2 linked regions of the Rattus norvegicus genome follow. The protein of the gene in region 1 binds, or shares a complex with, the protein of each later gene. Links are inferred from orthologs where the notes say so. Each region holds a gene or a part of one and is shown on either strand. Other genes may lie near its edges.

Evidence for each region.
Region 2: the proteins of Rabgef1 (region 1) and Rab21 are in contact, whole or in part, in a crystal structure (PDB 2OT3), measured with the Homo sapiens proteins. The link is inferred for Rattus norvegicus from reciprocal best matches to the Homo sapiens genes RABGEF1 and RAB21. Residues at the interface, in NP_001273991.1 of Homo sapiens: Leu253, Cys254, Lys296, Phe299, Asn300, Lys303, Pro309, Ala310, Ser311, Ala312, Asp313, Phe315, Leu316, Pro317, Ile320, Leu347, Met348, Thr349, Gly350, Glu351, Gly353, Tyr354, Tyr355, Thr357, Asn358, Cys360, Cys361, Ala364, Phe365, Ser373; in NP_055814.1 of Homo sapiens: Ser19, Phe20, Lys21, Gly26, Glu27, Gly28, Lys32, Thr33, Leu37, Thr50, Thr51, Leu52, Gln53, Ala54, Ser55, Phe56, Ala71, Trp73, Asp74, Thr75, Ala76, Gly77, Gln78, Arg80, Phe81, Leu84, Ile87, Tyr88, Asp91.

The regions. Positions count from the first base shown.
Region 1 is NC_086030.1:32,094,697-32,098,706, forward strand, and holds the end of Rabgef1 (rab5 GDP/GTP exchange factor), read right to left. Parts: intron 3,157-4,010; coding exon 2,758-3,156; 3' UTR 1,642-2,757; downstream 1-1,641. UniProt on the Homo sapiens protein: Rab effector protein acting as linker between gamma-adaptin, RAB4A or RAB5A. Involved in endocytic membrane fusion and membrane trafficking of recycling endosomes. Stimulates nucleotide exchange on RAB5A. Can act as a ubiquitin ligase.
Region 2 is NC_086025.1:52,810,966-52,816,957, forward strand, and holds the start of Rab21 (ras-related protein Rab-21), read right to left. Parts: upstream 3,979-5,992; 5' UTR 3,759-3,978; coding exon 3,606-3,758; intron 1-3,605. UniProt on the Homo sapiens protein: The small GTPases Rab are key regulators of intracellular membrane trafficking, from the formation of transport vesicles to their fusion with membranes.

The DNA.
Region 1 (4,010 bases):
TAGGCAAGCGCTCTACCCCTGAGCCAAATCCCCAACCCCCTTGTTTTGTTTTTTAAGATAAACGGTATCTTCCACTGGCCTGGAACTCTCCAAGCAGACTAGGCCGCCAGGGCCAGTGAGCCCCGAGACCCTCCTGCCACTACTTCCTCAGAGCTGTGATTACAAGAACATAATTACCGTGCCAGGATTTTAACACAGGTTCTGGGGATTAAACCCAGGGCCTCACACTTACAAAGCTTGCTATTTTACCTACTGGGCCATCTTATCTCCTTAGCCTCTTCCTTGGCGCCTGACCCTCATTCACTGCCTCCTGAGTGAACTTGGGGAACAGCTGATTCAACTGCTCTATGTCTTTAGTGACCGTTGACGTGCCGAATTCGGTCTAGTTAACAGCATAAATAAAGCACTAAAGTTTTAAATGTCACGCTGGAGAGATGGCTCGACAGATACCGGTGCATACTGCTCTTACAGAGGACCTGAGCTTGGTTCTCAGCAGCTCAAGCAGGTAGCTCACTACAGCTCCCTGTAACTCTAGGTCCGGGGGGGGGGGGGGGGGATCTGACGCCCTCTAGTGGCCTCCATAAGTACCTGCACTCACACACATGCACACACAGAGACACATACGTAATGAAAAACAAAATACTTTTTAAAAGTTGTATTTTTGTCCTACTTTTATTCCAAAAATTCTTATGCTGCATATGTGTAGTAAACATTTAGGAAAATATGTTGAGAAAGGAAGAAAGCCTTTCTCAGCTCCTTGAATGCTATGACACTGTTGAAGAATGGCGTCCTGAGGAACAACTAATTTCACAAAGGTGCTGATAACCATGCAGAAGAGTCATCCATCTGGGGTATAACCTGGTTATAAAAATTCCACAGGGATTAGAGAAGAGTCCCGCGAGGCAGGGCCTCACAGAGGGAGACATCAAGTAATATTACACTATATAATCTTTGGTTCTAGCTTATTAACTATACCAGGTGCATAACCCACTGGCTGACAAGAGACCGGTGATTTTTAGTACAGGCTAATTCTGTCCCCCAGGAGACACCAGATAGAGACAGGTTTCTTTAGTCTTTCTCTTTTTGAGACAAGGAGTTCTATAGTCCAGGCTTTCTTCAAACTCACTATGTGTATGAGGATGATCTGAACTCCTGATAAGTCCTTATCACATGATAACACATGGGGGGCGGGCTGCCGGCATCTACTGGTACAGAAAGCAGAAACCCTACTCAATACCCCACAATGTACAAGGCAGTGTTGCCATAACAACAAAACCTTAGGCCACAATTGTCAATTCAGAGGTTAGAAGTTCTGAGATGTCTATGTGACCTGCTGTCTGTTACCTGTTGATAAAGGTAAAGCAAACTATGAAGGGCGCAAGGCACCCACTTGCTCCGCGCTTTGAGAAGTTCCCTGTCAACTCCCATTAGCCTCATTCATTCGCTCCAACTTGCATCCACGACCACATCGTTGTATCACGGAACTCGGTGATGCTTTGTCTGCATGAGCTAAATGTGATGGTACAAACCCACCAATCCCGACGTCGGGAGGCTGAGGTTGGAGGATCACAAGTTTGAGGACAGCCTGGGTTACATAGCAACAGCCTGTCCCAAAAGACCAAGGAACAAAACAGAACCAATCAATTCAAAAAGGCAATAGCCCCCATAACATTGTGGGGGAAGTTTATTGGATGAATTAGGGAAAGGAAGCTATGAGCACAGTTCAAAGTCAACCGTACTAATTAGCAACAGTGTGTTCATGTGTATGTGGTACACATGTGTGTAGAGGTACACAGGCACAGATGTAGGCATGTGGAAGCCAGAGGTCAACCTTGGCTATCATTTCTCAGGAGCTGTCCATCTTGGTTCCTTTGTTTAATCAGGGTCAGGAGGACATTCCCCCAGGAACCTGCCCATCTGTGCCTTCCAGCAGCACTGTTCCAACTGTGCGTCACCATGTCTGGCTTTTCACATGGGGGGCTGGACAGGAAGCTCAGGTCCTTGAACCAGTGTGGAAAGCACTTTACTGCCTGAGCTACCACCCCAGGGTCCCAGAACAATTCTTTATGTGACCTAAAAGTTGGTGTCACAACTTCATTAACATGTACCAGGACCTCAGAGTTAGGGCAGTTAGTGCTAGTGTCCTGTTAAAGCTCATGTATTTTTAGATTATTTTTAGTGGGACAAACAAACCAAATAAAATGGTGCTAAAGGCAAACATTCAATATATTTCATTTTCACCTAAAAAAAAAAATCAGCTCATGAAATGCCATGCACGCTGATACCACCCCTCCCAGCCCTATTTTTTTTTACATATTTACAATTTTACATATTTACTTATTAACATTATCTTCTATCTTTACAATTACAAAATTATTTCACACTGGGAGAGTGTGGGAACATAGAATTCATTTCAACATAGACTTTATAGCATCTGTTTTATCCTTTAAAAGACAGTGTTTGCCCAAAACCAACAACAGTGTCTACCACAGAGGAAGCCCGTGGGAGAATCAGAAAGGACATAAAAGATTGACACAGAATTCACACAAACCTACTTCACCAACTCAAATAAATAGGACATTATTATTTACTAAGCTTCCCCTGCTAGGAAAAAAAAAAGAAAATAAACAATCCCTAAATCTGTACCTTAAAAATACTTTGAAATTGTAAGCAGTTAATTCATACTCCAGACCCAAACAGTGGAACGCAGCAGCTCCCTGAAATCAGCCCCAAATCAAGCCGGCCGTGAGCGAGACATCACCCTGCATACACCTGCGGCTGCAGAGGGGGAGGGAGCTTGTCGTTCTCCACATTCTCAGAGTCAATGGCTGCTAAGGGTTGGTTTGGGGGCTTAATCTCAAGAGGGTACTTCTCAACAATGTCTTGAACTTCCTTGGCGATCCCATCTGTCCAGTCTATTAAGTCTTTTTCGAGTTTCTTGGCTTCAGTCATGATTCTTTCCTGCCGTTCATTCAGCTGAGACAGGAGGTCCAAGTTCTTATACATTTGCTTCACACCTAAGCAGGCCTCCGGGGACCAACTCTCAGACTCTTGCTTCCTGGGGGACGTCTGGCCAGACATGTACCGGTCAAAATCCTCCTGACTTAAATTCAAAGACTGAGCGTCTAGTTTCTCAATGAAAGCCACAGCACAGCACTGCAGAGGAAAGAGAAGAGCATGGCGGTCAGGCAGAAAGGCCGAAAGAAGTCAGGAGTTCCCCATTCCTAGTGCTGGGGGATTAAACACAGGACCTAGTGCATGCTAGGCAGGTGCTCTGCATCCTCTGCCCTGCCTCAGCGATACCTGGCAGCCCAGGCTAGCCCTAAATTCACTACATAGCCAAGAATGATCTTGAATTCCTAATCTTCTGGACCCTTGTAGCTCTGCGTCTAGAGTCCTGAGAGTGCAGGCTTGGGCACCAGGACTGGCTGGTCTCTTTTTAAGACAGGGACTCACTATGTAACCCAGCACTTTTGATCTGCCCACCCCATCCTCTCAGTCGCTGCTGTGCACTGGCATGTCCAGTTTTCTGGACACTTGATTTTCCCTTTTTTCCAGAATCTTCCACAGCATCATAGCTCTCCTTCCCTGTTCCTCAGCAGACTCTATTCTCTGCTCTCCCAGCTGTTTCCCACCTAGGAGCACTCCCAGGTCTGTGCCTGAACCTTCCCTGAGCTGTCATTTATCATATGTGAAACATATGCTATACCTAGTGAACTTTCCAAACCCTGTTCATGTCTGTGGCAATGCTGAATTGCCACTGGAGTAATTCCACACCAGTATCGGTGGATTCCTCCTCGCAGCAGATCACGTGGGGCTGTAGAATGCTAATGCCAGGCAAGCAACAGGAGGCAAAGAGATGAGCAGCTCTGAGAGATAGGGCACTCATAGAGAAGTGCAGGGAGGTAGAGCGTGTGCACAGACTGGTCACAGTCTCCTCCACTCTGACAGACCTGCATCCTCACGAGCTCTAAGCTGCCAGGGGTCCAAGACCAGCCTCTTACCTCCCT
Region 2 (5,992 bases), on another chromosome or scaffold:
TCCTGATAGAACTGGGGGCTGCTCACACGTGGTGTATTTTGTTATCTGCATCTGACCAATCATCCCGTGACAGTCCTTATGCGCAAGGCTAATGAGATAGGAGAGCATCAGGCTGGAATAACTGGCCAAGCTTCACTAAAGGATTTGTGTTTACTGTATGTAGCAGCCCCAAAAGGACAACTCCATTAACAACTGTTTTCACTCAGGAGGAGGAGGGGATCGTGGATGTTCTGAAACAACCCAATCCTGAAACAGTAAACAGCTGAAGAAAACCTAATCTCTGGCCATGCATCACAGGAGTACACTGGAGCTTGCTACTAAGCTCTATATTTGCTCCCCCAAACCCCATCCCTTTGGAAGTCTTTGTGAACTGAAGAGAACATTGAAGGCCTTCTAACTAAATCAAGTAAGGAAATTAAGGTGCAGCCATTCTATACGACAGGTTCCATATCTTTCTTCTTTGCAGAACTCGGGACAGACGAATACTGGCCTAAATGGGCCCAATGTTTGGGGTGGGGGAGTGCCAAATCAAGACTTAAAAGGATATTAAAGATTCATTTGTGTGTGCTTCCTGGCTGCAGATGTGATGTGACCAGTTGCTTCCCCAGGTTCCTGTCACCATGTCCCCTGCCATGACTGTACCACCAAAATATCAACTAAAACTTTTTCCATCCTTAAAAAATAGTGAAATAAAATAAAATTGGCAAGCTTTAAACACTGGTACAAATCAAGTCAACTTTAACAGATCAAGCACATTGAGAAAAAAAAATACTTTATTACAAATTCAAAGAACTGAGAACCTGAAGGAGACATGAGTTTCTTGAAGCATTTAAGACTAATACTTAGTTGACAACAAACCCAGTAGTAACCAATGCCACAACTTCCCCAGAAACTCACAGGAACTTTACTACTTCAGTGTCAGAAGAAGGGGAAGTGACTACCTGCACCTCTCTGTGCAGTCCAAGCAGGCCTGGACTCAGTCATCCCTACAGCTCAAAGCACCCCACTTAAGTAAAGGAGGACGCCAGCCGGGCAGAGGGTGGTACCTGTAATTCCAGTCACTCTGGAGACTGAAGCAGGAGGATCATGAGTCTCAGGCCAGCTTATGCAACAACAGAAACAAAGAAGGGAAAAGAAGGAAGGATGGGGGCTGGTGCCCTGACACCAGGAGTGCAGAGGACGTTAAATGCCACTAGAGATCCAATTAAAGAACCAGAGCTGTTTACCTAAGACAAAGACTCGGGAGGTCACTAGAGCCATCTCAAGGAATGTCATATGAGACCAAAGTTCCAGAGGGCAGAATTGAGACTCAAACAGATTCTGGCTCTACAAAGAGAAAAACTTGTTTGACACTAGACATAAAAGGACATGGAAAACCTCCAGGCATAGTAAGTCTTCTGTTTTCAGTGATAGCAGTTCATTTCACCTCCAAATGAACCCAGCGCCTTTGGCAGGTTAAGCAAGCTCTCTACCACTCAGCTGTATTTCCAGTCTGTGACCTCCAAGATGTCTAAAATGTTTTGAAAACAGAGTACTCTAAAGAATACTTTAAACACAAAGCCCTTTAAAAGAATATGGAGTTTGTGAAGGATTCCTCTCCCATCTCTGATGCATAATCTCCTCCTCTTGGAAATTAAAGCAACAAGAGGTTGTGTCTTACAGATGACACAAATCAAACTTCTCTGGGAAGAGTGTTGAGAACGAGGTGGTGGACAGCTACCCACAAGGAAGGAATCAGAGTGTCGTTTCCATGTGTTAGTAAACAAAACCTTCACTTCTGTCAAGTAACCCACATACTGTTTACCATGAAAACAGTTTACGCAGAAATCTAAGCTGTGATGCTATTGGTACTGAGATCCACCATAGCTCGTCCTCCCTGCGTGGTTCACACCGCCTTCTTTCCACAGACTTAAACATCTTTCATCACTTTTAGCACTGAGGGGGTCTTAAGAAATATATAACCTAAACACAGTTTCTTGGTTTGTTCTTTTGAGACAGGGTCTCACTGAGTAGCACTAGCTGGTCTGGAACTTGCTGTGCAGATCGAGTTGGCCTCCAACTCAGAGATCTGCTTGCTCTGTCTCCTGAGTCCTGGGATTAAGGATGTGTGCCACCATCGCTGGACTCGATAGTGCAGATTCTTAGGTTGAAGAGCTAAATTAACTTTGCAGTTAAGCTTTCCTACTGTAATACCTTTTTCTTGTCTCTTCCAGCATAGAACAGAGGGAAGTGTAAAATGGGTTGTTTATTATAATCTCCAGAGGCAGTGAACCATAACCTCTCAAAATCTAACGAGGGCTGAGCACCGGCTCTGCCATACCATTCACTTGGGCGTTACCACCTGACATTTACTTCTCTAGGTGCCATGCTTTATATGGAATTGAAAACAGAGGAGTAAAAATAAAGTATGGAATCAGAAACCGAGCGTCCTGGTAAACTCTACACTCGGTCGTTTAATAATAGCACCCGACATCAAATGTCACACCCATTAGGTTACGCATTCCAGTCGCATCTGTGTTAATTAAGATCAATTGCACACGATGGAGCAGTAATAATAGTGTTTACCCCATTTCCGGTGCTAAGTGCGGTTTCCATATTCACCTGGACAACTCTGTGTACTCGATATAATCATTATGGATACAGTGGCAGCAGACACCCGGGGATGCACAGGTTAAGCAATTTACCTAAGATCACAGGGCTAGAGAAATAAATGGGGGTAGGATATGAATCTAGACGGCCGAACTCAAGTCCACTAGCCTTTTTAGCCTCTGAACAGTCTGATCAAGACACATTAATAGATAATTTTCTTCTAACACATGCAAACTGATTTTTTTAGGAGAACCGGGAGATCGCAGAGCCTTCAATGGCCTGGTTTCACTTTCAATTACATTGTAACACTTCCAGACTCTTCCGCTGTAACTGTAGAAGCAAGCCCCGCGTTTCATGACATGACAGTAAAGAAAATATGTAGCAGCAGCGCCCAGATTTTTAGTTTGATGACCAATTGCTGTCTACTGTGTCATATGATGTTTCAACGTGGATAGACCAAACCTCAAAGAATAAGTGAGCCGCCACGTCCGACTCAAGAAGGCTGCAATGAAAACTGCGTAACCTGCAAGCAGCAAGCAAGCGGTCGTTTCAAAAAACCTCCAACGACGGGTGTTTTAAACCACTCCATTTACTTTGAAAGCAGGACAAAATGGAACTTGCATAAACACTTAGTCATCAGCACGCTCTGAAGTTACAAACCACCTCGTTCGCAAATTCTAATCTGCATCTAAGTTCCTACTTCGCCAGGAAAGAAGGGCTGACCAGAGACCAGAGAGTGAAAACACCTGGTGCCCCAGCAGAAGCCCATCAAAGGGGAAAACCAGCCCGCAGACTGGGGACTCCCCAACCTGCGCAGCCTCCACCAGAACTGGGGACTTTTCCGGGTCCTTTCCCTCCCCTCCGTGGGTCTTGACATCCACAGACTGCCGGGGTCCGCGTGTCCCCAAAGCAATAGCAAAAGGCAATGGGTAGGCGGGGGGTTGGGGGAGTTGACAGGCCAGAGGCAGAGGAGCGATCGGGCGCGGGTCCCTAACCAGGTTCCCCGGGGTCTGCACCTGCAGGGTGGTGATGTGCTTGTCGTTGAACTTGTTCTCGCAGTAGCGCAGCACCAGCGACGTCTTCCCCACGCAGCCTTCTCCGAGCAGCACCACCTTAAAAGAGTAGGCTCGGCCCGCCGCCGCCGCCGCCCCGCCGCCGGCCGCAGCCATCCCGCCGCTGCCCCGCCGCCCGAGCCCAGCGCCGCGCCGAGCCCCGCACCACCGCCGCCGCGGCGCCCGCTCCTCCCGGGCCCGGCTCTCTCACGCCCCGCCGAGCCCGGTGCCCGCCGCGTCCTCCAGCGGGCGAGGCCTGCGAGGGCCGAGAGAAAGTCCCAGAATGAAGGGCCCCGGCTACCACGTCAGGGACCCGAGGCTAGGAGAGAGCTACCTCTCCTCCCTCTAATGGCGTCTCCTTCCTCCTACGTCACACTCCGCGTCACGTGACCGCGGCGGGCGGAGCCTGCGGCGGGCGAGCCTGGGCCTGTTCCGGTGTCCGCACCGACCAGCTCAGCGCTCCGGGAATCCCGCGTTGGGAAGGGGTTGATCTTTGCGGCCAGACCCCACTCTGATGGGATAGAATACAGGACGCGATCGCCTGGCCCGAGGAATGGTTCCAAAGAGGACAGCCATCACGCCAGGGGGTCATCCCAGGCCAAGTCCGGCCAAGGTGCCCTTGAGTCTTTTTTCTCTGGGCTCTCAAATCCGGGCTCTTGAACTTTCCAGTTTGTCCACACGGCCAGGTCTTCTAGTCATCGTCCAGGTCTCGTCTGAAACCGGAAAGGCTTCCCTGACCACTCAGTCCTTCCCACATCCTTCCATCCCTCCTACTCACTTCCTCACTAAGATATTTCCTAACAGTGGTGTGCCTTCTTTATCACTGCTTACCACACTCGGTCGAATTCCGATTCGGTTGTATGTTTAAGGGCAAGGATTGCGGAAGACTTATCCTCCCTCGGTTCCCAGCCCTAAAAGCCAAGCTAAGAATGAATACTGCTGCATCAGTCATTAAGCCCTGCTTCCCTGGGATTTCTGTCTTTCTATACTGAGTCCACTTTGATGGGTCTGGTTTATATGACGATTTCTTGTTTTTCTTCCTGTGCTTCCACTTTTATTTCATGAAATACACTCTCCCAAGAAAGCAACCTGGTATTTCTGAAATTTTGTAAGTTGGTGCCATTTAAAATAAACTTTCGTCTCTTATTTTACACTTCAACTTAAAGGCAGCCCATTCATTCTTCAAGGACCCTGTGAATGTAGCCACTACTTGCCATGTTCTGCATCGCATTAGATACAATGTCTCTGTCCTCAGAGAGCTTACATTTTTTATTAATCAGGGAAACAACGCATGGGCAATTGCACAGTGAATAGTTTTAACGGGAAGCAGTTCAGAGTGTTTTACAAAGATACATGGGAAGCCAGCCTAGTTAGCGTCCTAGAAGAGCTTCCTGGAGAAAGTTTGCCTTTTGTGAGGAGTATCTTAGGCAAAACAGAGAGGCATAAAATAGGAAGAAGCATCTGGCATTGAGCAACTGATGTGTGTGACAAGAGGTCAGACAAGAAATCAGAGTCAAGAACATCACCTTTAAGTCAAGGCCAGCTTGTTTTGAATTGTGAGTTCTTAGTTAGTTGGAGCTTTGTAGCAAGACACTTTCAATAATAATAATAGTAATAATACAATGATGATAATATTTACAATAATAATGCAAATAGGAAAGGAACTTATGATGTAACTTGCAAGGAATCGAGTCAACTCAAAAACAGCCTTTAATCGGGTACAGAATGTTATCGGGTCCTTTTATAAAATTATCTATTATTAGAAAATTGGACAAGGGTAAAATTACTTGTGTCTATCTAGAATCAATCATTTATAGATTATTTTGTAAATTATTTTCATAGTGAGATTATATTTCTACCTTACTCCTTATGCTGGCTAGTCTACTGTCAACTTGACATACAAACTAGAGCTATCTGAAGGAGTGAAACACAGATGAGAAAATGTCTCCATAACATCCGGCAGTAAGGCATCTTCTCAATTAGTGGTCAAGGGGTGAGGACCCAGACCATGGTGGCTAGTGCCATCCCTGGGCTGGTCTTCCTGGGTTCTATAGAAGGCAGGCTGAACAAGCCATGAGAAGCAAGCAAATAAGCATCACCCTCTATGGCCTCTGCATCAGCTCCTGTCTCCAGGATCCTGCTGTTTCTGAATTCTTTTTTTTTTCCATTTTCCCAAGATTAAATGATTATTTAAAAAAACGTGCCACTGTATGGAAATCAACATTCTCTCCCATAATTCTGTGCATTGGGACTATAGAAATGTCACTGTCCCTGCCCCACTTCTTGTCCTGACTTCCTTCAGTGATGTGGGGATGTGAGTCAGATAAATCCTTTCCTCCTCAACTCACTTT